4 linked regions of the Tamandua tetradactyla genome follow. The protein of the gene in region 1 interacts with the protein of each later gene in a pairwise test. Links are inferred from orthologs where the notes say so. Each region holds a gene or a part of one and is shown on either strand. Other genes may lie near its edges. The genes, in order: NFE2L2, MAFK, WAC and MAFF.

Region 1 (7,001 bases):
TATATTTGTATAGGTATAATGCACATATAATTCAAAAGCATTCTGTCAAACTTCCGGTTTTACCCCCTTACTTGCTGCATTGCTATTCCTGAAGGGCAGTATCTATTAATAGGAAACTATATGAGTTAAAATCGGCTTTATAGATATACACCTCTTTGCACAAGTAGTTTGTATAATGAGGTATACATATCAAGGAACCAAGGTTATGGGTGTGTTTGCAAATTAATACACCAATGATTTTGAATACTGCTCTACTGGAGTTCAGTTTATTCACTGGGCAGGGACTTCTCAGGTTCAAATTCCCTAATCAGATATTTAGTTGAGTATCTTACATAACTCATATAAATGAAATCATGTCAGGGCCAGAGTCTCTGTATGCATTTATGCCTCCATCTACATAAGTGTCGGAGTATCTGTGTTTCTTAACTGTTTTTTTTTTTTTTGTATGCTATATGGCGGGGTCACATTTAATTATTTTCCCATGTGAGTATCCGTTATTGCAGCACCATTTGCTAGATTTTTGTTTGTTTGTTTTTTGGGAAGTGCATGGACCTGGAATCTGTCTAACCTGGGTCTCCCACAAGGCAGGCGACAATTCTACCACTGAACTACCCTTGCACCCCCTTAACTGTATTTTTTTTCCCTTAATTGTATTTTGATAAGAAAAATATTTTATCATCTATTTAATGGTATGGAAATTGGTGCATGATGTGATCAGGTGATTTAGTTTGTATGGAGAAACAAGTATATATTACTGGAAAAATAACTTCTTTATTCCCAAAGAGGTCAATTAGCTTCGGAGGGATGAGACCCTATTAAATTGCAACTACCATCCCTATATGTGTTCCCAGCGATGGTTAACAAACAAAAAGCAGCCAATAGAACCCTGCCTTTGATATTCAATACATGCTGATTGGCTTATCTATTGCTATGAAACAAACCACCCTAAAATTCAGTGGCTAAAAACAAGTTAATTATATTCTTTCACAATTCTTTGGGTTGACTGGTCTGTCTAGGCAGTTTTCTACGGTCTTGCTTGGAGTCTTTCATGCAATGGTAGATAAATAGCAAGTGAGGGTGGAGTCCTCTGGGGGCTTGACTTCATTGACAAATTTGGTGCCTTGGTTAATATAGACAGATTCTCTCCACTTGAAGTCCCATTTTCCCTATGGTTTCTCTCGCCATTAAGGAAGTCAGACTTCTTACATGATGCCTGACTTCCAAGAGTGTAAATTGAAAGCTACCAAGCCTTCCTAAGTCTTAAACCTGGACCTGGCAAAGTGTCACTTCTGGCCTCCCTTCATCAGCTAAAGCAAGTCAGAGGGCCAGCCTTGATTTGATGTGGGAGAGAACATACAACAATATCAAAATCAGGAGGGGTGGTTCATTGGAGGCCATCTTTGGAAACTAGCGACCCCATATACTTCAACTGTAAGGTGGACAAAGTAGAATTTCAACTATAATTCCAGGAGTTTCTGAATATTTTCTGGCTCAAAGAGGAAGTAAAATTGAGAGGAAGCAAGAAGAAGGAAGAGGCCTCAAGGTGATGGAGGATTTTTAAACAGTAGGTATGTTCTAGGGCCTTGCAACTTGGCAGACTACAGTATGGAGAAGAAGGTGAACAAATGGTCAATGCATGACCTTTATCCTAAATTTGTGAACTCAGAAGGCTTACTTGATAATGCTCATCTTTATGAGAACTCTAGCATAAGACATTACAAGTCTGACACATTACAAGACTATATAGGGGGCTTTCTTTCCAAAGACAGGAAAGAATTCAGACATCAGTGGAAATCTAGGGTCAGTAGATTGTAAAGCCAATTGGGAGAAAAAGCAAAATAGTAGGCTAGAAGAGGATGGTAGTAAAAAGGGCCCCCATGGCATCAGGAAGATGAGAAAAAACAGCACCTCCTCTTTCCTGCTTTCCTGGAACCTCCCGATAAGCAGTATGTGCACCTCCATAGCAGAATTTGCAAGTGTAGAGGGCAAAGCTAGAGCCAAGGCTCTCTCATGGAGACAATTCTTATCTTAGTGTTTCTAAAACTGGAAACCTCTTTGACATGAGTCTTCTGAGACTGGGATTCCCTTTTCTTGTGCTGAACCACCATTCAGTGCCAAATGGCTTTTCCTAATGTCTTTATTTCTTAAACACGTTCAGACTCTCACCATGTTGTTCTCCTCCCTTTGAAAATATGTACTTTGCAGGTGCCTGAAATAATATACCCATAGTAAATTGCAGTTTTGTGTAAGTGAAGATTATTTCATTCAGTCTAAACTCAATGGAACTCTTGTTGCTTAACAAAGAAATACCAAATACTTTATAAACTCCTTGAGGGCAGCAACCATATCATATATGATTTGTGTATCTCCTATCTCCTAGACTCTTTGTCCACCTTCTTATGTAGTAGTTTTAAAAAGTAACTCAAATTGTTAACAATATATTCTTGTCTTTTTTCTTTGATGCAGAAATGTCATTTCATTATGATGTCTCTGCATAGTTCATGTCAGGTTCTTTGTAAATAATTTCTCCCAAGCTTGTTTTCAGTGCGCAGATCCTTTTGCAGGCTTTTCACATAACAGCTGAATGGGTTTATGGCTGAAGAAGCTTGCTTCAATTACAAGTAATTAATTTAGGCTTCACCTTTCTCAAGGATTATTTGAAGATATAATTTACAGGTAAGTCCGGGGCGTGTCAAATTATGCAACCAAGATAAAATAAATTCTACAGTTTATTGGAAAGAGAGGAGGCAGATTCTTGAATGACATAGTAAAACCACTGCCAACACTATCTACTTCACTTCCTTTCTAATAATCCCAAGAAGCTAGAAACTGAAAACCAGTTTAAAAATTAGAAACATCAGGGAAAAAACGCCATTTCTCTTTTGTTTTATATAAGATTTCACAATATTCCTATTTTCAAATACTTAATGTTATGTAATGATTAATTTTTAAATAACTTTTTTAATGTAGAAAGTAATACATATTCATTGTAGGTTTAAAGCATAAGGTAATAAAAGAGAAAGATAAAATCCGTTCACGATCCCACATTTATTATTTTGGTGAACATCCTTAATTTTTTTCCTAGGCATGTTTTTTAAAAACGGGCCCATACTCTACTAACCGTTTTGTAACTTCGTCTTTTTTTTTTTTAACTATATCGTGAATAAATTGAAAATAAAGTCAAGAATTTTAGCATGTTGTAGCGTTACACCATTCCGTGGCGTGGTTTGTGCACCTTGGTAGGAAAAGAAAGCTCGTGGGGTTCCCATTTTTGCCCAGCTCTCGGCGGGTAATATTGACCACTCTGTGACCAAAGGGGACTTCTTCCTTTGACCTTGGCAATCTGACCCTATCGAGAGTGCAAACGTATGGGAGTAAGTAGAGGGCGTTCAGGGTGACTGCAAGCCCGAACTCCCGGTGCGGTCCACACCTCCCCTGGGCAGGACCTGCTTGCCTCCGCCCCGGCGGAAACAGAGGGCGAGAGGGCAGTTCGCGGTGCGCACCACCTGGGTTTTAGCTCTCCTCCCCTCCCCCCGCCCCCCGGGCTGGCGCCACTCTCAGGCGGCGGGGTGTGATAAAGCAGGGCAAGGTTCTGTAACTTCAAATCAGGGAGGCGCAGATCCGATACCAGCGCCCTTGCCCGGTCTTCGGGCGTGTTTGTTACAACTGTTTGAAAGCGCCCAACCCCAGCGACCTTCGGCAAACAACTCTTAATCTCCCGGGTGGAGACCACTGGTCTTATTTGAGAGGAAGACAAACTGAGCGCGGGGACAGAGGAGCTAAAGGAAGCTTGCGCTCACCACCCCGCCAGCCCGCGACCGCCCACAGGGACCCGGGCCCGCGGCCCTTCCGGCGCCGGGACCCTGAGCTCTTGCGTCAGCCGGGCGGGGGTGGGGAATTTTCGCAGGCTTCGCTTGCACCGCAAGCCGGGGAAGGAAGGGCCCAGGCTCTTGCCCCGCCTTCGGGAGGGCGGGAGGCGGAGCGGGGCAAGAGCAACGCCGGCGACTCAGGCGGTGTAGCCGAGCGGCGAGCGCCGGGCAGCCCGGAGGAGTCGCCGCCGTCGCCACTGCCTCCGTGTCCGCGCCTCGGCAGTCGGGTTCAGGGCAGTCGTCGGGGAGCCCCAGCCCACGGTCCCCAGCTCAGCATGATGGACTTGGAGCTGCCGCCGCCGGGACTACCGTCCCAGCAGGTGCTGTCCCTGCCCTCGGGGCTCCGCGGAGGTGCAGGGACCGGGCAGGGGCGGGCGGGGTTCGCGGCCCTAGAGGGACAGCCGCCAGCGTTTCTCCTCCCGTCTGTGGCCGGAGCAGGGACTGCAGCGGCCAAGAACTGGAGCCTGGAGGAGGGTAGCGGGGGCCTAAGGGGGCGCGAGGGAGTGGAGATGAGGTCGGGTGTCCTGACAGACGACGAGTCCTCAGCACCCGAGGGAGCCTGGAGCGGAGGGGTCTGGGGGGGGGGGCGTAACTTGCCGCGTGTCCGCTCCCTAGCGCTGGGACGCGGGAGCCTCCGCCGGTCCCCCGAGTTTGAGCGGCCCAGAGGCTGCAGAACAGGAGGGGGTGGACACCCGCGGTCTGAGCCGGCGCAGCCCGGCCCTTCCGCTGCTGCGCGTCTCCCCCGCCTCGGAGCCGGCAAAAATGTGCCTAGTCACGGGGCCACTCTCGGGGGAGCTGAAGTCTTTGCTAGGCCGGACTCAGAGGCCCTCCTCGGCCACCGCCTCAGGTCTCAAGACCTTCGCGGGTGCGAGCTGTCGTGCAGCGCGCCCACCCCGTTGGGCCGTCTATGGGTACTTCTTTGCAAAGTAATCAGTCACTCCGTCAACTCAGTCTTTGGCCGCCTTGAGCTAGAAAGCTCAGCCTTCAGGGGAGGGAGGAGGTCATGAAGTGTCCATCGCTCTCTAACGCCCCGACGTGCCGCAAGACCCAGCCCCACGCGCATCCTCCGACCGCGGCAAAGGTTTGGGATCCGGAATTCAGGACCCACCCGGTCGGCCCCTCGCTGCCCCGCGGAAAGTGCGGGCGAGGGGCGGACTGTGAAGTCCGAGTTCGCGGCGCCCAAGACTTTTGGTTCCGGGCGCTGTGCCTCCCGGTGGCGCACGCCGCGTGCGTGGCTGCGGCCTGCGTGACAGGGGCCGGTTGGCTGTCACGGAGGCCCTTGGTTGGCCCTTTCCTGCTTTATAGCGTGCAAACCTCGCCGCGGCCAAGGGACAAGTTGGAGCTGTTGATCTGTTGCGCAATTGTTATTTTCCCCAGGGCGGCTTTGTCTTTGGATTTAGGATTTCTGAATTGCAATTCCAAAATGTGTAAGGGAGGATTATCTGTTCTGTGCTGTAAAGGGTAAGAGTTGAGAGTGTAGATTAGAATTTTTGTTGCTTTTAGGGTCATTTTGTTGGCGTTCAGCTATTATTCTCCCCTTGGGTGCCTTATATATGTTTTCTTTTCTGTTTGAGAATTTGCCTCATTTCTTAGCATGTTGATTCTTTTGCAAGGAGGGTGGGAAACTTCTGTTTTCATAATGGTTTGCTAACAAGTTCTGTAAATTGTTATAAAAGTGAAAACAAATTTCCTTTCATACTTTGTAGGAACTTTTTAAAGTAGTAGATATTTGTATATTAGAATTTAAGAAAAAATTTTGGTTGATGGCAATTTGTAACTTGATAGATAGTGATAAATTTGTTAATGCTCTTGAATATAAAGTTTTAGTTTAATCCTGAAACTCTGATGTAAGCTTTTGAGCTATTGACGATGTATTCATTGTGCTGTTGTTTTCTTTAAAGTCTTGGACTTTCCCTCATTAGTGACTGGGATGGTATTCTTCTAGTTCCCGATAGTATGAAGAAGTAAATTGTACTTTCCTATTTAGCTTCTGTTCAAGAGTAATCTGTAGGAATGCTTTTTTGACCAATGCACGTATGAGCCAATGGACTTCAGTTTTCCTGTATTCAGGAATTGTAGTCTAGAGCACTCTATTTCCCACACGTGGGGAAGCAACGTGTAGGAGGATAAATGCACAACTCACTCAAGTCTTTCTGCATTAAAATAACTTGGGCCATTTGAAGTATTTATTTCTTTCTTGCTAACTTGGGATCTTATAAAAAATGCTGGGAAAAAAGTTTCTTTTTCCAGGCAGATTTGAAAGCCCAATGTTTTATTATTTTTTTAATATTTGTTTTTATTCAAGATGACTACTCAGAAGATGATGTGAGAAAAGGAACCCTCTTTTTTTTTCTGGGAATTTCCTCTCTCTGGCTTAACACATTTAAAGGGGGCTTTTGTGTAAATAATATTTCCTCTTTAAATTTTCCTTGAACCTGGGTTAACATTTTTCAGCATAAACTCTTGGGTGCAGAAAGAATTTGGCACTAAGATGATAATAACTGATATGAGTTATTGGGCACTTCCAATGAGCTAGACTGTGTGCTAATTGCTTCGCATGCATAATTTCACAGTCACCCCATACGAAATACTATTATCTTCTTTTTGCAGGTGAGAAAGGAGGCAGAGAGAGGCTAAAAGTTCTGCTTTAGGTGACCCAGCCGTTGAGTCGTGGAGGTAGGACTGAATCTGAGGCAGTCTGACTCCAGTGGCTCTTAAACACTTTAGGACTAGATCAAAACTAGTAAAACTTTAAACAGGAGGAAGTCTCGGGCTTTATAAAGTGGTAAGTTGAGAAAAACTGGGGAAAGAGGGTCAGGAATTTGAAAGATGAATGTAGACACCTTTTCAGGTTACCAAGAAATTTGATAACTGTTTGGGAGGAAGGAGGTAGACCTTGTGATATAAAATAAGAGTAAATACCAGCCTGTCAATGTAATTACCGCACGTGATCCTTTTAAGAAAGACAGAGGCCTAGGTGGTTTTAATTTAGAGAGGCAGAACCATTTGCTAACATAATAATTTTAAAACTTCCTGGGATTTTAACAGTGTCCTTGTTTCTGTCTCCCAATTCCCAGAGATAACTTTCCTTTTGTTAAGTTAAATCTCGTAGTTACGGAAGTTTTTGTTTAC
Region 2 (7,001 bases), on another chromosome or scaffold:
CCTCCAGGTGCTGAGGCCTTGCCTGGCCCCCACTGCAGCCACCCTCCCCTCCAGGCCCCACTGAGGGCAGTGGGTCCCAGGTACACCCTGCCTTTGGGTCAATGGGAGAGGAGGCTCCGGCCCCTCCATGGCTGGGGTCTGAGGGCCAGGCACACCTGCACACCTTCCTGGACACACACACCCCACAATGCTCCCAAGAGACCTGGTGCGACAGGCTGTGCCCCAGGCCCACTGCGCACTGGCAGTGCTGCCATGGGGAAACTCACGTCCATAGAGCACGCCCGAGTGTGCACACACATTCACACACATGCGCCCCTGCACTCACGTGCACACACTCATGCATATGTACCCTTGCATGTTTGCACTCCCATATGCATGCAGTCCCACACACACGCATTCGTTACGTTCCTGCGCTCACACTTGTACACACACTTATGCACCGCTACACTCATGTGCACACGCTCATGCACACAATACTCTTGCATGCACGTGTCTACACATGCACACTCCCGTCCACACACACGGGCACACTCCTCCCTGTGCCCCGAGGAACCCACACCGGCTGTGTGGGTGCCGGGAGACCCCGGCTGAACCAGTGGCTGCGCAGGTTAGTGTCCAGCAGGAACACCCCAGGGCAAAGCTGTGGGTCTCTCTGCTCACAGCCCCCCGAGGCTTGGGCCCTGAGCTCAAGAGGCAGCAAAGGGGCAGAGTCATGGCAGGGGGTACAGAGGGGCCGGGGGTGTCAATGGGTTCCATAGGAGCGGGGAGGCCGGATCCTGCCCTGGGACCCCGGCAGGCTCTGCAGGGGGCGGGGATGCGACCGTGTCCTCACACAGGGACCTCAGACCCCCCATCGCTCCTGAGCACCACGGGGGCAGGACCCCGCCCCTGGGGAAGTGGACAGAGAGCTGAGGAAAGCGAGGCGTGCGTGTGTGCGTGTGCGTGTGCACGAGGGACGGGGCGCCGCGGCCGAATTCGCCAGAGCTGGCTCTTCCATTCTGTGCCCCCCGCCACGCCCAGCCCGTGGGGGCTGCTCCCGGGGCCCCCCGCCACCCCGCGCCCGCACTAGGACGCGGCCGAGAAGGGCACCGAGGGCGCGGAGAGCTCGGCGGACTTGACGATGGTGATGACGCTGGTGGCGGCGACCTTGGAGGGTGCGCCCGGGCTGCGGGCCACGGTCCTGGCGAAGGTCTGCAGGGCCTCGTACTTAGCGCGCAGCGCGTCCAGCTCCAGCCGCATGCTGCTGTTCTCGCGGGCCAGCTTCTCCACCTCCTGCTGCAGCTCCACGCGCTGCCGCTCCAGCTCCTCCCTCTGCGTCACCCGCTTGATGCGGCAGCTGGCCGCGTAGCCGCGGTTCTTGAGCGTGCGCCGGCGCTGCTTCAGGCGCGCCACCTCCTCCTTGGACAGGCCGCGCAGGTGCTGGTTGAGCTCGCGCACCGACATGGACACCAGCTCATCGTCGCTGAGCGCCGGGGCGTTCTCGCCCGCCTCCTTCTTGACCTGCGGGCGGGGCAGCGTGGGGTGGGGGTGGGCAGCAGGACGGCGTGACCCCCTCCCCCAGCACAGGGCCCGGGCTTCCCCACTGGGGGTGCTGGCCCCGTGCTGGTGCGCGCGTGAGCCCTGTGTGTGGCCAGTCTGCGCCGTCCCCTCTGGGGCAAGTGGCCCGAGGCCTGTGGGTCTGTCCCGCCCAGCCCCTGGCCAGTGGACAGCCAGGGGGCCCGGGGAAGGGAGGGCCTCAGGGGAATCAGGAAGGCCCTGCGGCCACTTGGTCGTCTCCCCCACCACCATGCAGGCCAGGAGAGGGGTCTGCACAGCCTCTGGGGCTCAAGGCACCCACCGGTCCCACCTCTGACCACAGGAGCATGTCCAGAGCCGGCCACAGGGCAGTTGACTGCCCGGGCACCCTCCACGTATCAGGGCTGGGGTGTCACTAGTCCCCCTGGCTCCACTGGCCTCTTCCCACACCCCCCGGCCCAGAACACCCCAAGCCCGTGTCTGGGGGCTGTGCTTGCTGGCATCCTGCTGGCAGGTGCCAGGGCTGAGCCCCGCCGGGTGAGCAGGGTCCCTGGTGGCCACCCACCTCACCTTCAATGCCTTGTTGGCTTTGGGATTAGTCGTCATAACCTGGGCACAGTCACCGGGACAGGAGGGCTCGGAAAGCACAGCTGAAACACACAGACAGAGGCACATAAGGATGGGCCCGGCCAGGCCCCCCAAGGACTCCCAAGGCCGAGGCGCTGGCTCCTCCAGGGTCCAGGAGGAAACCCCTCGGCACCATCGCGTCCAGCCCCCGCTGCGGCCACTGCTGCCTCCTGCTCCAATGCCACCTCCTGGCCACGGCAGCGCCACCACCTTGGGGGGCACAGGGCGCCGGTCCAGAGGCAGAATGGCCAGCGGCCGCCTCCAGGGACAGCCACACCCACCTGAGGCCCTGCCCGGCCCCCACAGCACCCCTTCCTGGGGAGAGTCCCTGGTCACCTGCTGCCCGAGAGGCCCCCTGGGGAGACGGCGGCAGCCTCAAGCCTCGGCCCAGGGAGGGGGGTAGAGTACCTGCCCCCAGCCCGGCGTGGCCCTCCGGGCAGGTCCCCTATGGCGGCAACAGAGAGCTCTGCAGCTGTGACATCAGCGCCTCCTCGGCAGCCCCGCGGCCTGGCCTGAGGAGCGAGGGCAGCCGGGCTCCCACTGACCGCCGCAGCCTCCCGAGCAGGGCGGTGGCATTGGCCGGGCGCAGGCTGACCGGCTGTCTGGCGGGACCATCCCCGCCAGCTGTCTGCTCCGTGTCACACATCCTCACCGCTCAGAGCCCACCCAGGCAGCCCAGGCATGAGTCCCCTCTGATAGTTGCTATGGTGACCCTGGGAGAGCGGCCAGCCCCCCGTGGTCGTCATGGAAACCGAGAAGCCCAGAAGCAGCGACAGCTCCAGGTCACGTCTGTGCAGAGGCCGGTGGGGGCCAGACCCGCCCTAGGAAGAGGCTGAGGGCTGAGGTTCAGGGATGCCGCTGTCCCCGCCCGCCCCCCCCACCACCAGTCCGAGGCGGGGCTGCACGAGAGTGCACACCAGGAGCTGCGGGGGGGGGCAGGAGCAGGGCCCGGCGGGGGCCCCCATTGCGGAGTGAGCCAGCGGGGCCTCCTGCCGGGAGCCCCACCCCCTTTGCTCCCAGAACCCGCACGTGTGGGGGGCTCAGCGCATGGGGAGGAGATGGCGCAAGAGCCGCTGGCGGCGCCCCCTGGGGATGCCCGTCGGGCGACCGCAGGCAGCCGGCCCGCTCCCGCGGTGAGGCGCCTGCACGCCGGCGCCAGGGGGGCTTTCCCACGTTGAGGGGGCGGCCATCCCCAGATCCCAGCCTGCGTGCCCGGCATAGCTGCGCAGTGAGTCAGCGGCTGTTTACGGAGCGGGCCGTGTTCCCGCAGAGCCGCCTGCCTGGCCCGGGGGCCACTGCCTGGCCTGGCACAGCGCCTCGGAGCGGGGGTCCAGCGCAGGAGGGCTTCTCTGCTCTCCCTGGAGGGCCGGCCCTGGGGCTGGGGGCGCACGCCGAGGGCCAACCTGCCACCCAGCCCCCAGGAGCACGCTACGTCAGGGACAGAGCAGGGAGGCCCGTGCCACATCCCACTGTGGGAGCTTCCTGCCAGAGACACAGTGACCTATGAGGTCATGCAGACGCACACAGGATGTGACTTCCTGCGGCACCATACACCCTGCCCCCCACACCGGCCGGCCAAGTCTCTGCCCAAGGAGGTCGGTGCATCAGTTGGAACACCCCTGCCAGGTCTTCGCCTCGGCTGCACCCCACAGTCCCCACCTCGTCCACGTGCCACCTGGGATCCTCCAGGAGGTGCCGGAAGGGAGGAGCTGTGTGCCCGGTCCCTGCGGGCCAGGGAGGGGAGCCCCCGTGAGTGCCCGCTGGGCCCTGGGGACTGAGCAGCGCCCTGGGCTGTGAAAGGAGCAGACAACAGGGAGACAGGAAGGGCAGGGGTGGGGGACAGGAAGGGTAGGGGGGCAGATGGAGGGTGTGCTACGCCCAGTGCCGTGGGGTGAGGCAGGAGCCGAGGCTGGGCCAGGTGGTGGGGGGTCCGCGCTCAGCGGCGCCTCATAAAGGGCCCAAGTCTCCTCTTCTGGAAATGGTGGATGGACATAAAGGCCCCAGGATCCTCTCCAGGGCACCCTGCACGAACCTCGGGTTCCTGCCCCGGGCTCAGGGGCCCAGAGAACCACAGGCTCCATGTGGCCAGGGACGTCCAGCCCACAACTCTGCTCGGGAAACGTGACCCCACTTCCTGGAGATCCCGGTGTTGCTCTGGGCCGCTCTGGCAGTCAGCAGAAGAGCTCGGACGCACCGGGCCTCGGGTTAGCAGACGGACCGCGGGGTGGGGGCTCGGAGAGCCCTGCACTGCACAGGAGGTGCAGACCCGGGCCGGGCCCTGCCTTGTGCCGAGGCCCCCAGGGAGGTGCCAGCCCGGAGTCGGCTGAAACAGGCATGCAAGAAAACGACAGCCTGCCTGGAAGAGGTGCAGAGAAGGGTTCTGTGTCTCTAAAACAACCGATTTAAAAACAGCAACGACGGATGCCCTGAAATGGACCTCTGCAGACAAAAAAGTCCCAGAGGACTGCACGGTCAGAGGGCACACGAGGAGGGAACATTCTCAAGATCCTCAGGCCACGTGGCGCTGGAGCTGCGGCCAGGGACAGTGCCAGGGTGGGGGGACCCAGGACCAGGCTCCACCGTCACCTGTACTCAGCACCCAGGTGACAAGCAGACTGGACGATGACCCCACAGGCCCCAGGCCCCCCCGGACTCCCGAGTCTCAGAAGAATCGCCAGAGGGGCAGTGCAGAGGAAGCTGCCACTGAGAAAGCCGGCGCGTCAGCACTCGGACGCTGTCCTGCCCTTCAGGTGACTGACCGATGTAGGGGAAGAGGCTGCGTTCTGAACCCAGAGCCAGACGCTGCATCCCGGGGAGTGTCCACTCCAGGCTCGACAGGAAAAGCCGTTTCCTCTAGAGAAAAGGGGACGCAGGGCGGCACAGCTTCAAGTGGATCAGGGCGCAGGGCCTGAACAGACCCCAAACTCACACTGGGGCCCTGAGCCCCCCAAGCAGATCCTCAACTCATGCCAGGACCTGGGGCCCCCCGAACAGACCCCAGACTCACACCAGGGCCCAGGGCTGCCTGCTCCACGCCATGCCCCTTCCAGGAAGCCCCCTGGGACCCTCCGGGGTTGTTTCCCACCTCCAGCCCCCAGCTGGCTCCCAGTGCTCTGACCGGCTTGTCCGGGGAGGGGTCCGGTTCTGGACTTGCCACCATGCCCTGCTTCTCACCGCTGAGATTAGTTGTTTCTTTAAGACACGAGCAGGTGGCTGACCCTAGCAGGGACCCCACCCACTATCTAGGAAAAGGGGGCATCTGCCCAGCTGCCGAGGCTCTCATCCTCACCAGATGAAACGGAGACCTAGACCCTGAGGCCAGAGGCCAGAGGCCAGAGGCCAGACTGCCGCCGCTGCCAAATCACATGTGGGTGGCGACAAACGGGCTGCTTCTGCTCGCCGTCTCCCCATCCAGCCCTTCCAGCCCACCTCATAAAAACAGGGGGCTCGCCACTCCTTTCCTGTCCTCCATGGGCCGCAGATGATGCCAGGCCAGGGACAGGAGGGGCAGGAGGGAGGGTTTGCTGACCAACAGGCTCAGGCTCAAACCCCAGGCAGCAGCATCTGTACAGCCCGATTCCCTCCAACAGGTGCAGCTACACACAACCGGAAACTTCCGTGGGCGCCTGCCTGGCGCTCCAGGGATTGGACGCCTCCCACAAGCCACCCAGCTATACACCTGTCCTGGCCAGAGCAGGGGACACACGCAGGGTGCCCAGTGGACAACCAGTGAACCAAGACACAGGGACAAACTACAGCCCGTCCCGCCCCACAGGTGAGCCTGGACCACCCTGCCCAGCACCCACGCCACCCTGGATGCCCGCCATCGACCCATGCCTGAGAGCTGGCCTGGCCAGCTGCCCTCCTGCAAGGCAGCCTGTCTGCTCGCCTGGAGGACGTCTGGTCACCTTGCCGGGCCATCCCAGGGAGGCCGCATCACTCTGTCCGCTCTCAGGGGTGATTCAGGCAGCGGCCCTAGCTGACGGCAGGCTGGACACTGCACCTCTCTGGCCCAGCCCCTTCTCCTGCTGTCCTGGCTCCTGGGAGACCCCAGTTCCATGGTTTCAACCTTCTCCTGCTCTCCACATCCAGCCCCCACAAATCCTGCAGGAAACCTGCCCACCTCTGCCCCATGACTGCCAGGTTCTGCAGATGCAACCAGCCCACAGACCTCGTCCTCTGCCCCCCGCCAGCCCCTGCCCCATGGCCCCAAGCTCAGGACACCAGGAGCCCTGCAGCCCACTGCCCCCATTGCCACCACCGCACTCCCCCCCTCATCTACCCTACAGGCCCTGCCTCTCCCACCTGGACCACAGTGCCACAGGAGTCCCTGGCTTGGAGCCCCCCAGCACTCCACTCCCCATGTCAGGCTCACTGCCATGGACTTACACTGGGCCCTCTCCCGCTTCTGAACTGCTGTTCCCGCTCCTAGCCTGCCCAGAATGCCCTTCTCCTGCCCCACCACCCAACCTACCCCTGGTTTCTTCCCAGAAGCCCTCCCCCACCCAACACAGAGACCCCTGCCCTGCACGCATAGGTAGTGCCACCCCCCACCCCGACTGATATGCAGCTACCCGCAGCAGGGTGGCCAGCCAGCCTGTGGGCGCCTGGAGGGCAGGGACCATCTCACCCATCCCACACACTCCTAGTGAGGTGCCTGGGCACTGCTGAGGCCGGGTGGACAGCTCAGCACTGCCCTGCAGGGCAGGGGACGCTCAGGCGAGGGGAGCCTGGGAAAATAGGCATGGCCTCCACACCTGTGCCTTGCTTCCTGAGCTCCCAGGGGATGCAGGGCCTCTGGCCACAGACTCCACGGCTGCGGCCAGGTGGAGAAACCCTCTTGCTTCAGACTCCTCGTC
Region 3 (7,022 bases), on another chromosome or scaffold:
GCTATTTATTTATCTCCACCATTTCATCTGTTAAACAGTATGAGTGGGGAAAAGAAAGATTTCTTAATTACTTTTGTAAAACCTGGATTTTTCCTCAAGGCATGCTTTAGACATGAAACCTGGTATTTTGGTAAACTTTGGGCAAATTAAGCCTGAAAATAGTTACCAAGAATTGCTTTCATTTACTCATTCTCAGCCTCCCACTGCAAAGTGCTTGAGATAACTGAAAGGCAGCAGAAAGCGAAAAGGAAGCTCACTTTTTAAAAAGCTGAGTATATGAATGAACAGAAAATAAAAGTTAACAAGTTCCTGGAGAACATGGAAAGCATTTTAAACGTTCACAACAAAAATTTAAATGGGATTTTCAAACTCTCAGAAATCTCAGTAAACCTTTGAACTGTCTTGAAAACTTACTGAATTTCCGAATTCATAATTTATCATGTATAATTATCAAACAGATTTTAACCCTTTAAAAAGTAAAAGTTTCTTTCCGGGAAAAATGTTCTGTATTTCTCCCATCATTTAATAAAACATTTGGTAGATTATATTCATAAATATATTCTTATCAGTGTTCTAAATTTTACACATTCAGGTCAGCATCCTATTTTTACACAGGGACTGTTTATGAATCAAATAACATGACAGACATAAAATCCCTTGATGACAAAATTACATGGTAACATCCTCAAGCTTGAAATACTAATGGTGCCAATTATTTTGCATAGCACTACGTTAAATAATAAATATATGTGAAAGTTTCAACAGGAAAACTACTCACCACCATCCCTCTCTCTAACTCTGTGAGTATGCACGTTTTTGGCCTTACTGTGACCTGTGCTGTCACTGTATTTGTTTTCAGGACTATCAGATCTCCGCAACATTTTATTTGGTGGTGAAGGATCTGCGGCGTCTCGCATCTTTTCATGTCTGTGATCACCACTACTGGGGTGACTCTTCGATGAATACTTAAGTGCCTGTAAAACATCACCCCCCCAAAAAGAAAGAGAAAGAATTGAAACTTCAAACTCTCTAAATTGATTAAACTCTAAAACTTGGTGTACTGAGCTTTATGAGTTTATGTAACAAAATTAAAATTCCCATTTTGAATTCTGCCCTTAAGTTAGTGAGGCAAGTCCCAAATGCTGACAAGTTATTATAAGGCTCCTGATATAAACCATAATATCAAATGAAAAAAAGAAAAAGAAAAAAATTCACTCCATTTTGTAAATACAAGAAACCAAACACCTTGGCACATACATTCCTTAATAAATTTTTCTGGGAGTTAATGTTTGAAATCCTTTTTTGCAAACTTAATCCAAAGAAAACTAGAAACTCAGTAATACTGTAATTAACTTCTGCTCTACAACTGCGTATCTTCATATAAAAGGCTCCTGATATAAACCATAATATCAAATAAAAAAAAAGAAAAAAATTCACTCCATTTTGTAAATACAAGTGTTTTTAACTTGAGCTTTAACAAGTCTTGATATCCAGTAACAGAACTGTTTCTCCAAGTGATTAGACTTAGAAACCACTTACACAACTTCTAGTGTCATCTGATAGTTGTCAACCATTTACCAGATGTCCCCCCCACTCCGGAAACCTCAGGCACACCTAACATAAATTTTTAAAACTTTACCAGTAACAACTGCAGTAACAAAAAAGAATTTACATACCATGAACCACATATTAGAGTGAATTATACAAGCATCCAAGGATCTTAATTTTTACAGTAACAAAAACTATCTTTCACATGTAAGACAATTACGTGCACTCAAAAGAAGTCAAATGCGGAGAAATAGTTCACAGCAGAATTCTGAGTTGAGTATCAACTGGCTCTCTCGTCCCAGGCCCTTGATCGAATTCTATTCCTTCTCATCAACTTCTAGTTCCCCAATACAACAGATGAACATGCCTCACAGCTTACAGCATCGATTCCTTCACACCCGAAGCATCAAGTCGGGTCTTCCTGGCTGCTAATGTTTTCTAATAAAAGTGAACTTTCTCCAGTCACCTGTCAAAATAAGTCACTAGGCCTCGTTGGAGAGCGCTCCCGGAACCAAACACAACATTTTATGAGGGCCCCGCGGTGCTAGTTTCGGATTTGCAGCACTGAAAGGCCTGTAGCGACTTCTGAAGCCTGCGCTCGAGTAGCAGTCCCTCCCCCTCCCCCTCCAACCCCTCCACCCCGGCCTCGGCTGGTACCTGGAAAGGCTGCGAGTCCCCCCTCCGGTCGTGACAGCTGAAAAACAGGAAGAGAGGCGGCGACATGAGACATTGAGGGGGGAGGACGGGAAAACGCGGGCCCCGGCCGCCCCTCCCCGCGGGCGACCTACCAGGCGGGCCCAGCGGGCAGCCCCGCACACTCGCACGCTCCCGCCCGCCCCGAGGAGGCGACGCGAGCTGGCCGCAGCCCTCCAGGCAGCTCCCGCACACGCGCCCGGCCCCCGCTCCCGCCGCCGCGCCTCCTCCAGCCCGAGCCGGAACAGGGTTAACAACAAAAATGGCGGCTCGGCCAGCTCCCGATAAGGAGGAACAGCCCCCCCGCGCCGCCGCCGCCCCCCGCCGCCCGGCCCGAAACGAAAAGACAATTTACCCATCACTGAGTCTCTGCTGTTTCCTCGCATACATTACCATCAATGCCCGGCCTGTGAGTGTGTGGCGGGGAGGGGGGACAGCAGCCGCGAGAGGCGGGCGGGCGGCGGGGCGCCGGCACCAGGGCCCGGCGCGCCCTCGGCGAGTCTCAGCACCTCCCCGTTACTGGAGCCGGCGCTCCCGGGCCATCTCCCTCCGCCACCACGCTCACTCTCGGCCCGGCCGGCGGCGCCAACTACACGGCGGCAGCGGCGAAACGGGGGGAGGGGGGCACCCAGACGCGTCCGGCTCAGCCCCGCGGAGAGCGAGTGCCTGCTCCGCCTTCCCCTCCTCCTGCTCCGCCGCCTCCTCTCCTCCTCCCCCCGCCGCCGCCGCCGCCGCCTGGTCCCTCTCCGCCTCCTCCTCCTCCTCCTCCTCCTCCTCCTCCCGCCGCCACCGCCGCTGGTGCCGCCGCTGCCGCTCCACCAACTACATCCGGGCAACTCGGACGAGGCCACCTTCGGCAAGCATCGGCAGTTTCCGCCTCGCTCCTCCTCTCCCGCCCTCTCCTCCCGCCCCTCCTCGCGCGGCTCCGAATACCGCCTTCGGCAAACCTCGGCTCACTTCGGTCTTCCTCTTCCTGCCGGGCCTGGCTCGCCTGCTCGGACCCGACGGGCTCCTTCCGTTTGCTGTTCCTTTCGTTCGCGCGGACGTCGGTGCCAGCGTCCCTGCTCGGGGCTGATCTTGCTGAGGGACTTGCTAGAGGCCGTTTGTAGGGGCTCCGGGATGTGCAGTCAGCGAGCCGCCTTAGAGAGGAGGGCGGCGGGGCGCGGCGGAAGCCAACGCAGACTGAGGGAGGCCGTTGCGGCGCGCCTGCGCCCCGCGGCGGGCGCGGGGAATGGCGGGTGACCTTGGGCGAGCCCTCGGGCCGCCAGCCTCTTCCCTCCGGGTTCGGGGTGTGGGGTGGTCGAAGACCCCTCGGTGAGGCGAGTGGAGGGCGGTTACCAGCAGCTTTCTTTGTTTGCAGCCCTGGGAAGCGGCTCTTAGGGAAGCGAGGCCTCTATAGAAACGAGGCCTGGGCGCCTGGCTCACGCCGGACGCGGAGCGCAAGACCCGCGCCGGGCCTGGGGCTTTTACTACCACGCTCGTCGGCATTTGAGAAGTAAGTCACACACCCAGAAGCATAAAGGAAAGAAAGCTTTCTAAGTGAGAACTGGCAAAAGTGAAAGAGTTTATGGGTATTGAACAGATTGTGAGAAGGCTGTGTGTCTGCGCGGCTGTACGGTGGGGATTCCTGGATCGAGGAGGGAGAACCACTTTGGGCAGTTAATTAAGAAATTGGATTAAACTGAGATTCGGGGAAGGGCTGTTTGGAAAAAGCGTTGAGCCACGTCATTTTAAAAGATATTTTCCATCTCGGGCCTGGGAAATTGGCTGTGCCCTCCCCTCACTCTCTCCTTTCTTTGTTTCCCATTTTACTCTTTTCTAATGTCTCTTCCTCGATAAGTTCTTTGGCGAATTAAAATGCATTTGTAAATTCCGTGCTAATTAAAAATGTAACAGATTTTTGTGTGTCATTATAGGCATAATAGCAACATTGGTAAGTGGGGAGCGGGGAGTGTCGAACAGATACGCCAAAACAACAAAATGTACTTGAGGGCGGTGCCATTTAGGTGATTTTTTTTTCCTGTTAACTTCTTGTTAGGCGATCATGCAGCATTGATTTAACATGAAGGATTGTAATAAACATAAAGTAAAAATACAACCATTATTTATAGTATATAGGAAAACAAAGCAAACTGGGAAACAAGAGACATTCCTCAAAAAAAAACATATCAAAAACTAACTGAATTGGTTGCTAACAGCTTAAATTATCGTTGGGCCTAATGAGATGGATGATGGAGAAAATGACCCTGAACTCTCAACTGATTGAAAAAAATAATTATATAGCCTTATTAAATCCATCTACCAAATGTTGAAGTTGTTGCTGTTTAAGAACTGGAGAAAGTCTACTTAATGCTCACATAAACTGAGTAATTAAGACAAAAGCTGCCCGTGACTGAAATAGCTACCAGTCCTCGATTAAAAAAAAAACAAAATCAGTTCAATAGTAAAGTCTTTTGTACACTTTTGAAACAAATACATCGAGGGCAGGGGACATCAGATTAGAATACAAACGTGATTTATTTTATGATAGTCAAATGTCTTTTGCTGATAATGCTATATGAACAAGAGCACTGGTCTGAGCTATGGGGAAAACGTGTTCCTCACTGTTACGCCCATTTTTTTAAAAGCTCATCCCATTGCTCAACTTAGAGTCCATTATCTTTTCTTATGAATCCTTCCTTGCAGATATTCCCTACTCCTTTCACCCCTCTTCCTCTACCTTACGTGTCTATACCACAGTCCTAGTTAATTACTACATATCTAGGAGAGCAGTTGAACTGGACAAAAACACACAGCTAAACTGACTCTGAAGTAAATCTCTTCATGCTCCTCAGCCTTCAGGCTACATTTCCCTAATCCATTCACTTTATTCTTCTTTCTAACTGTTTCACATCTAAGACTGCCAGTGTCATTCCTCAATGGTGTCACTGGTAGCTAACTAATTATTTTGCATTTTTCTGAGAACAGAAGGAATCAAAGCAATAAAAACTTCCACCTGCTTTAACCATCGTATCTATCAGCCTTACTCCATTTGAATCCATATGTAGTACTGCACTGTCACCCTCAAAAATGATAGATAAACTAAGTTTCTATCTAAAACCAAACTTCCGCTTTGTATCGACTTCCATTTCATTCTTTATCAATTTTTTTCTCAAATGGATCACTTCTATCAACTTAAAACATGCTGTCGTACTTACCATCCTCAAACAAAAGCTCAGCCTGTATCTTTTTCCAGATACTGTGCCATTTCTCTGCTCTCCTTTACAAAGAAACTTCATTTCTACTTCCAATATTACATTGTTCTGTATCCACAACAGTCAGACTTCATTCTTACATGCCATTTACTCAAGATAATCAATACCTTCCATGTTCTCAAATCCAATTTTCATTTTTCAGCCTTCATCTCACTTAGCAGTGATTGACAGAGCTGATAGATTAACTCCCTCCTTCCTGAAACTCCATACTTAGCTGCCAGGGTACTACTATTCTAATTTCTTTTCTTTCCTACTGGCTGTTCCTTAGAGTCCTTGTCTAACCCTCCCCTAGGGTTAAACTTCCACAATATGATCTGCCTCTCTTCCCTGTACTCTCTCCCTAGGCAGTCCCATCATCTGTAACTGGATGGGACCCATGTTTGAGTCTCTAGCCCAGATCTTTTAAATACCTACCTGTCTATTCTAGTTGATTGCCCAGTGGGCATCTCCACTTCATATCTGCAGAACCACACTCTTTAATTCTTCCCCAAAACAAGTTCTGCTCAAGTTTTTCCAATCTCAAGACCTGTCAGATCCATTCTTCCAGTTGAGGCTAAAATATTTTGTCATCCTTGATTCTTTCGTACTTCACATAGACTCCATTAGCAAAGCCTGACAGCATCACCTCCAGAATATATCCAGAATCTGATCTCTTTTCACAAGCCACCATCGTTTTTTACCTGAACCTATAGCAGTGGTCTCTTAAATGAGCTCGTCCTTCTTCCCTTGCTTCTGTTTTCTCCCAGGGCAGTCAGAGTGGGCTCGTTAAGTCACGTATCATTTCTGCCTTAAAACCCACCAATTGTTTCTCATCTCACTCAGAATAAAGGCCAGAGTTTTTTGCAATTACCTGCAAGGCCCTGTGTATATTGCTTCCACTGGCATTACCTCCAGTAACTTGCTTATTCTGCCTCTGTCAACTCTGTCCTTCTTGTTACTCCATACCAAACATGCCTCTGCCTCAGGATTTCTACAGTACTGCCTCTTTGCCTGTTATACTCCTCCCTTTTGTACCTGCTTGGCTCACTCCGTGTCTCTCTTCTAATCTCACCTTATCAGAGGTCTTTCCTGGTAACTATGTAAATGGCATTCCATCACCATCTCCCAAACCCTGCTGTATTTTTCTAGCAGCATTTACTGTCTAATTTGTTACATATTTTGCATACTGGTTTTCTCCCTTCCACTAGAATGAAAGCTTCATGTGTCGCCAGAGAAAGGCAAAGGGTTTAGGTTGTAGCTTCCAATCTTGGCTGTGCCTAGTGTCTATTATCTGAGGAGACTTAAAATTATATACTGTTTGGGAGATACAGAATTTACCTCTATTGCCAATTAATGATACAAAAAATGATGCCTACAGGATCTGTTACTACATAATTCACATTATTATCCCTGCCGAGAGGAATATAGCTTATATTCTAGATGTGTGATCGAGATATGCTTCCCTCCTATCATAAGCCAAATACGAGTTCATTCAATTAAGGAGGAAAAATAGGACAACTGCAACAAATAACTATTTAGGAAAGGACA
Region 4 (7,575 bases), on another chromosome or scaffold:
ATTTGTAGGCAGAAACCTACAAATCCTACTGTGTTTGGCCCATTTCAAAACCCTGCTGTACTGGCCTCCCCTCAGGCCTCCTGCATGTACGTTCTTTCTCTCTCTCAGGGTCCTTGTGCTAATTACAAATGAATGGGCAGACAGTAAATGCTAAGATATTTAGAATGCATGTTTTCCAAAGGGACAAATTGGGAGTATGTGCGTGTGCCAGTGTGTGAGCGAGGGAGGGTGTCACCTGAGCTCTGAAGAGTCTGCTAGTTTTTGGGGAGGGAGATGCAGCTACAAGAATCCTATAGGCCACCCTTGCGCTTCGTGCTTTCCCAGGGATCCCAGGCCTTTTTCTCTAAGTGTCATGGAGCAATTCCATGAACAGATATCCACTAAACACTTATAGTGTGACAGCCCTGGAGGCCCAAGGACAAGACATAGCCCCCGCCCTTAAGGTCTTTGCAGACTTATCTCTCGGTTGGATCTCTCAGCTCCCTGGTCACCTCCCTGGGGAAGCCTTTCTTGATTGCTCTGGCTAAGGCAGAGTCCTAACATATACTTTCAAAACACAGTGACTTCCTCTGTGGTTTAGCAGTTAGTTAGGTGGCTCTTTGTTTAATTTTGTCTCCTTTACTTGGCAGTTAGCTCCCAGGGGGTGGTTTCTGGGTCTCTTACTCATATCTTATTACCCCAGCATCTGACCCACGACAGAGGCTCCCTGGTGATGCTCCACTAAATGTCCAGACTAAGGGAGCACAGGGGCTGAAGGAGCCCACAAGGCTCCAGGGTCCTAGGGGAGGCCCAGGAATGATTTAATGGGAGGTTAAAACTTTCAGTGCTGATTTTCCATCTGTGACTGAGTCAATTGGCCACTTCCCCTCTTTGCTGATCCCCACTCCTCCCGTCTGACTTTGAGCTTGGGCCTGCCTGGTTCTTCTGCTCCTGGCCACAACCCCTCTTACATGGACTTCACATACCCCTGGACACCTCTCAACTCCCAGCATGGGGCTGTGGGCTCTGCTCTCTCAGTCCCCCTAGGAAATAGGCTGTGTAGAGGTTGCCTGAAATTCCCCATTCTCCCCCATTCTCCCAGCCTGGCTGTACCTAGTTCCTGCTACAGATGGGGATGTGGAGGCTTCCAGGTGTGGGAGCAGAGCTTGCCAGGATTTGAAGATTCAAAGAGGAAAAATGACCCAGTACTTGACTGCAGAGAGCTCGGAACTCCTGCCCTCCATGATTTGGTGGCCCTGGGGTGGAGGAGAACATTTGGACACTCCAGGACACACCCTCTAAGGTGCACAGCGCTGGTACACACACACACACACACACACACACACACACACACAAACACACAACAAATCTCTAGCCCCCTGGCCTCAGGCTAATGGCATGACAGGTGTTTTCTGCTGAGCTGATGGGGATGGGGGTGGCTAGATCCTGGAACCCAAGCCTCACCCATTAACCCTTCATGCACCCAGACTGCTCATCCCACTTTTTGTTGCCCCTTCCTGGGTCCAGGGTGGGTGGGCTGCTTTGAGTCCACTAACTAGCAACTAGCTCTTAGGACCTAGCTGTCATTCGGTCTGCTCGGTTCCACTAGAACTACTTGTGACTTGAAACCTTTGGGAAGGTGGGAACTAGCTTGGAGCCATCCTCTGATCTCACTCCTCCAGCCCCAGCAGGTACAGTGTTCCCACTCAGATGTGCCACCCAAGAGTGTGCCAGAAACTTCCACAGAGGGAAAGCCTGGGACTCCCCACTACCTAATCCCCAGTATTGCATGTGTTTTCTGGGCCTCCCTGTTTCACCTGAGACTGACAGATGGATAGACCAAGGGAGCTAGAAAACCTGGGGACCAGGACCCAGCTCTAGTCCACATTGTTGCCAGATCTACCAGTGGCTAGGATGGGAGATGGCCTCCTTTCACTACCCCAGCAGAGCCGGGTGGGGTCTCTGATACCTCGCCCCACCCTGTGGCTGCAATCACCAGCTCACATGTAACAAACACCACAGTCACACAGTAGCCGGGCAGGGAAAGTCCAGGGAAAGCAGGGGCCAGGACCCAATGGCTTTTGAGAAGGGGGCAGCTAGAGCTAGAGTCCCGACCTGTGTCACCAAAGATCGGGCCGCTTCCTTCGCCCAGTCTCTATTCCGTGTTTACTCATTTGGACACTCCAGGACACACCCTCTGAGGTACACACACACACACACACACACACACAAACACCGACGTACATCCGCGGGGCACACCCTCCGAGGTACACAGCGATGGCACGCGCGCGCGCGCGCGCGCACACACACACACACGCACCAAGGTACACCCGCACGCGCGCACAAACCAGGCAGGGACCCAGGACGCTCGCCAGAGAACACACACGCACGCCGCCCTGGACGTAAACAAACCGCGCACGCACTCCCGCGGGCCCGGGTCCAGCGGCTGTTCCCCGGGAGTCACGTACGTACGCGCGCTGCCCCCGCCCCCGCCCGGGCGGACACTGACGCTCGCCCAGCTGCGCGGCCCCTTCCTCCCGGGCTTCGCGGCATCCCGGCCCCGCGCCGAGGAAAGCGCCCCCACCGCCACCCCGGACCTCTGCCCTGCCCCCACCTGCCGGCCGTCGGGGAGGCGGACTCAGGGGCCGCTGACGAGCGAGCCCCGGGCGCCCCGCCCCAGTCGCGGTCCTGGGGCGCGGAGACCCTTCCGGCTCGGGCTCCCGCGCGCCGGTGCCCGCCTCGGGCCCGCGTCGCTCACCGGACTCGCCGCCCGCTGCGCCTGGCGTCCCCGGCAGCGCGGATCCTGCTGCTGTCCCGCTGCTGTCCGGCCCGCGCCCTGGCCCTTCTCCCCTCCGGTCTCGACCGCGGGTTGCTTGGAGCCCGGAGCCCGGGAGCGTGGCGCCGAGTTTTGTTGTCGGGTGGGCGGCGCGGGGGGCCGGGGCCGCGCAAAGTTGTAAGGCGAGCTTCCCGGAATTACTCACGCACAGGATTCCTTTCATTCATAAAAACCCAGTCATGCGGTGACGTCACCGTCCGGGCCAACCCCCCCCCCCCCTACTCCCCCCACTCCCCACCCCTCGCGGTCCCGGAGCGGCCGCCCCGCCCCCTGCGCCCCCGCCTCCTGGGAGTCCCAGCCTCTTTTCCAGCGCGCGCTGCCTACGGTCACGTGACACCCCGCGGCCGCGTGGGTGGAGCTGTCATTTGCCTCATTTTACAGCCGACGGGCTGGGGCCTCTTCTCCTTTCGACCTACACTCTCCGCCTTGGTGATCTCATCCAGTCCCGTGGTTTTAAATGCCGTCTATGGGCCCATGACCCAGATTTATATTTCCAGAGCAAGCAGTTACTCTGAGCTTCAGAATCGTATCGGATTGTCCACTCTGCGCCTCCACGTGGCTGTCAGGCAGGGGCTACACCCCAACACGGCCCAGCTCCCACCTCCACCCCCAATCTCTCCCACTAGTTGTTCAAGCCAAAAAACCTAAGAATCTTGTGTTTCACACTCTCTGGCTTAACACCCTTTGTGGCTTCCCTTTGCACCAAGTATGTCAACTCTCCACCCCTGGCTTAACACCCTTCCTGGCTTCCCTTTGCACCAAGTACATAAACTCTTCTCCCCTGGACCCACAGGGCTCTGACCATGCGGTTGTCCAGCCTCACCCACTGAACTTAAGTCACACTGCCCTTCTCTCTGTCCCCCAAACATGCTCAGCTCCTTCCTGTCACAGGCCCTGTGCACTTGCTGTTTCCTCTTCTGTTCATTTGCTGGGCTCTTTGTCATAAGCTTAGATGTCAACTCCTCCAAGAGGTTTTTCTTCACTGCCCTGGCTAAAGAAGCCCCACCTCCAAAATTTGTTTTATATAACCTTATAATCTCCATAGGATATTACTTGTTTATGTATTTGCTTACCATTTATTATCTGTCTTCCCACGCCAGCATATTTCATGAGGGCATGGATCTTGTCTGTCTTATTCACTCCTGCATGTCCAGTGCCTAGAACAGTGCTTGGCACATAGTAGGTCCTCATTAAATGTATATTGAAGGAATAAATTAGTGGGGAGGCTGTGAGAGTTAAAGTGATTGTTTTCCAAAGTCACCCAGTTGGGAAGTACAAGACCTGGAATTTGAATCCAGGTCTGACTGATTCCTGATCCAGACATTTGGAGCTATGCCCCAGCTGGGTGGGGCCTGGCAAGAACGTAGTTCAAAGGCCTTGGGGAAAATGGTTCACTTGCTTCCCTAATGGCCGAATGTTGAGAAAGCTTTGTTTAAGCACTCAAAACAATCTTCCCAAACAGTTGCCCCCTTTGTACATCTGCATCTCTAAGGACAGGGATAGGAAAATTCTCAGTTTTAGAAAGTGCACAATTGTGATCGCCTGTCTTCTCTTCCCCATCGTCTCTGAGCTCCTCGAGAGTGGAAGCCATGCCTGGCATGTGGTAAGTGCTCAGCTAGTGAGTGAGACCCCAGGGAGCCTGAAGCCCCCCAGACAGCGTGACGCCGAGATGCTTTGCTCCCGTCCTCAGCCTAACTGTCGGGGGTCAGCACCTCAGAATTCACCATCCAGACACTGCTTCCCATGGACGTGGTTTGTTTTCTGGTCAAGGGTTGCAATGTCTCTCCAGCTCGTAGGGGCTCCCACCAGCCAAATTTGGGACAATCTGAGCATCAAAATAAATAGTGGAAATAATAAATTATAACCCATGGTCCATACTGATAAGCAAGCAAGCAGGGAAAGTGCCTCCTTAGAGCAGAAAGAATGATGGAATTAGAAAACGGATGTTAGTAATAATGGATTCCAGAAAAATCATCAATGGATACTAAAATTTGCATTTGAAAACTTGATGAGAAACAAGAGATTTACATAGTTTCAGAGTATTTCTCCATAAGACAATTAATTAAAAAGGGGGAAAATAGTAACTCTGCAGGGGAGAAACCTGCCAGATGCCAGTTCATCGAGTGACCAAAGTTCCTGTCAGGTAGGAGTCAAATGGACACATTTGCCCCCTGAAATGATGCATTGAAAAGCATCATATCATGTCGTGGATCTCTCTGCCAACAATGCACACAGAGAATCTGATCATGACGATGCATCGGACAAATGCAAATGGTTTCTATGAAATAACTGTACTGTACTGTTAAAGAAACCAAGGTCATGAAACAGAAAGACACACGGAGGAACTGTACCAGATTGAAGGAGTCTAAAGAGACGTGGCAACTGGATGCTGTGTATGATTGAGAATTTTCTTCCTTTTTTTTAAAAAAATATTCCTATTGATAAATCTTAACACACATTTCTATACATGACGTATAATCAATGGCTCACAATATCACCGCATAATTGTGTATTCATCACCATGATCATTTTTTAGAACATTTGTATCACTCCAGAAAGAGAAATAAAAAGAAAAACAAAACTCATACATACCATACCCCTTACCCCTGCCTCTCATTACCACTAGTATTTCCATCTACCCAATTCATTTTAACCTTTGCCCCCTTATTATTTGTTTATTTTTTATACATATTTTTTACGTATCTGTCCATACCCTAGATAAAAGGAGCATTAGACACAAGGTTCTCACAATCACACAGTCATATCACAAAAGCTATATCATTATGCAACTGTCTTCAAGAATCAGGGCTACTGGAACACAGCCCAACAGTTTCAGGTACTTCCCTCCAGCCACTCCGATACACCATAAACTAAAAAGGGATATCTATATAATGCATAAGAATAACCTCCAGGAGGATTTTCTTTTGCTATAAAGGACAGTTTTAGAACAACTAGTGAAATCTGAATCAAGTCTGCGAATTAGAGAATGGTATTCTTTCAAGCTCAATTTCCTGATTTTGATAATTGCCCTGTGGTTAAGTAAGAGAATGTCCTTGATTTTAAGAAACACACACTGAAGTTTTTAGAGGTAAAGGGACATCATGTCTGTAATTGACTCTCAAATGGTTCAGAAAAAAAGATTTGTAGAGATGTAGATGGGTGGATTATAGAGCAAATGTGATATAATAACATTTGAGGAATTTGATTGAAAAGCATACAATAATTCTTTACTATTCTTGCAATTTTTCCTTAAATCTGAAAGCATATCATAATTAAAAATTTTTGTTAATGTAGGGGCTGTCAAGTCAGCCTGTGTGTTCAAATCCTAGCCCTGCCTCAGTCTCCTCCTCTAAACTGGGGTTATAAATAGCACCTGCTGCATGAGTTGTGCAAGTGTCTGGTACACAATCAAAGATCAATAAATATTGAGTTAGAGGTGAGTCCTCTGGAGTCCCCTAGAACACTCCCTTTGGGAAACCTCCTTCTTCCCCATGTAAGTGCCACAAAGTCAGTGATGGCCCAGCCCCACCCTGCTGAGAGACCCCCACCTCGCGCCCGTAGGGACAGGTCCTGCTGCCAGTTTGTGGGAGCAGCAGAGGTCTAACTGGGCCGGCTCGTCCCCTATTCCCCTGCCTGGAGGTCTAAAACCCCAGAGAGCACCCGCTACGTGCCTGCGGACCCCTGGCTCACAGTGGGGGTCTGGCCCAGGGGAGGTGCTCAGTCCTGCTGCAGGGCTGGAGCTGAGAGGCAGGCTGTGCTGGTACGAACTCACAGCCTGGCTAACGCCAGGGTGGGGCATCCCTCTTGCTCAGCCTCAGTCTCCCCACCTGCAGAGTGAGAGCTTGGGATTAGGTCAGTGGTTTTCACTCTCAAGCTACAGTAACCTTTCTTTAAATGAAGGTCGGCTTTGCAGTGTGTCCCACTCTGTAAAGCAGCCAGAAGCTGCACTGACACAGAAGGGAGACAGCCAGGCCTGGCCGGAAGATTTCCCGGTTGGATGTTCTCTAAGACCCTTCCTGCACTAACATTCGATTTCCAGGCCCCCATGGGCTCCTGTCCCAGGGACTCTTGGGTCCTCCCTCATCGGGCTGGGCCTGGTCGGGTCTTACATTTCCCATGGATCCTTCTGGATCTGGGCAGGAGTGATGTCAAAGGGACCCCTGTCAGCACCTTCCGACACCGCATCCTATTTGGGGTGTGTTCTGGTTTGCTAGCTGCTGCAAGCAATACACCAGAAACAGAATGGCTTTTGAGAAAGGGAAATTTAATAAGTTGCTAGTTTACAGTACTAAAACTGAGAAATTGTCCCAATTAAAGCAAATCTATAAAAATGCCCAAATTAAGGCACCAACAAGTGGTTACCTTCACTCAAGAAGACCACTGAAGTTCAGGGTTTCGCTCTGAACTGGAAAGGCAGATGGTGAACACGGTGACTTCTTCTAGCTTCCTCTCCGGGCCTCTTGCTTCATGAAGCTGCCCCCAGGGGCATTCTCCTTCTTCAGCTCCAGCGGTCGCTGGCTGGTGACTCTGCCTCGTGGCTCTCCCGTTGTTCTAAGAAGGGACTCTCTCCCTCCTTCTTTTTAAGGATTCCAGTAAACTAATCAAGACCCATGTGAAATGGGTGGAGTCACATCTCCCTCTATTCAAAAGTTAATACCCTAAAAAGTAAAATAAAAATTTGAAAAAAAGAAGAGAAAAAGTTAGAACCCACAATTGGGTGAGTCACGTCTCCATGGAGATAACCTAATCAAGTTTCCAAC

The links.
Region 2: the proteins of NFE2L2 (region 1) and MAFK interact in binary tests that used the Homo sapiens proteins (3 or more experiments, as listed by UniProt). The link is inferred for Tamandua tetradactyla from reciprocal best matches to the Homo sapiens genes NFE2L2 and MAFK.
Region 3: the proteins of NFE2L2 (region 1) and WAC interact in a two-hybrid assay, tested with the Homo sapiens proteins (2 studies listed by BioGRID and IntAct). The two-hybrid records come from large-scale screens. The link is inferred for Tamandua tetradactyla from reciprocal best matches to the Homo sapiens genes NFE2L2 and WAC.
Region 4: the proteins of NFE2L2 (region 1) and MAFF interact in binary tests that used the Homo sapiens proteins (3 or more experiments, as listed by UniProt). The link is inferred for Tamandua tetradactyla from reciprocal best matches to the Homo sapiens genes NFE2L2 and MAFF.

What each region holds. Positions count from the first base shown.
Region 1 is NC_135329.1:149,520,349-149,527,349, reverse strand, and holds the start of NFE2L2 (nuclear factor erythroid 2-related factor 2), read left to right. Parts: upstream 1-3,980; 5' UTR 3,981-4,144; coding exon 4,145-4,189; intron 4,190-4,605; exon of another isoform or gene 4,606-4,795; intron 4,796-5,146; exon of another isoform or gene 5,147-5,330; intron 5,331-5,353; exon of another isoform or gene 5,354-6,545; intron 6,546-7,001.
Region 2 is NC_135349.1:1,081,747-1,088,747, reverse strand, and holds the start of MAFK (transcription factor MafK), read right to left. Parts: upstream 3,015-7,001; 5' UTR 2,889-3,014; coding exon 2,795-2,888; intron 2,166-2,794; coding exon 2,086-2,165; intron 1,501-2,085; coding exon 1,066-1,500; 3' UTR 1-1,065. UniProt on the Homo sapiens protein: Since they lack a putative transactivation domain, the small Mafs behave as transcriptional repressors when they dimerize among themselves.
Region 3 is NC_135327.1:222,265,997-222,273,018, forward strand, and holds the start of WAC (WW domain-containing adapter protein with coiled-coil), read right to left. Parts: upstream 2,682-7,022; 5' UTR 2,651-2,681; coding exon of another isoform or gene 2,640-2,650; 5' UTR 2,638-2,639; coding exon 2,597-2,637; intron 2,243-2,596; coding exon 2,205-2,242; intron 992-2,204; coding exon 779-991; intron 1-778. Other genes in the region: uncharacterized protein LOC143682789, read left to right, coding at 2,640-2,650, 2,682-3,483.
Region 4 is NC_135333.1:30,623,346-30,630,920, reverse strand, and holds the start of MAFF (transcription factor MafF), read right to left. Parts: upstream 3,004-7,575; 5' UTR 2,738-3,003; intron 2,659-2,737; exon of another isoform or gene 2,594-2,658; intron 2,469-2,593; exon of another isoform or gene 1,093-2,468; intron 1-1,092. UniProt on the Homo sapiens protein: Since they lack a putative transactivation domain, the small Mafs behave as transcriptional repressors when they dimerize among themselves.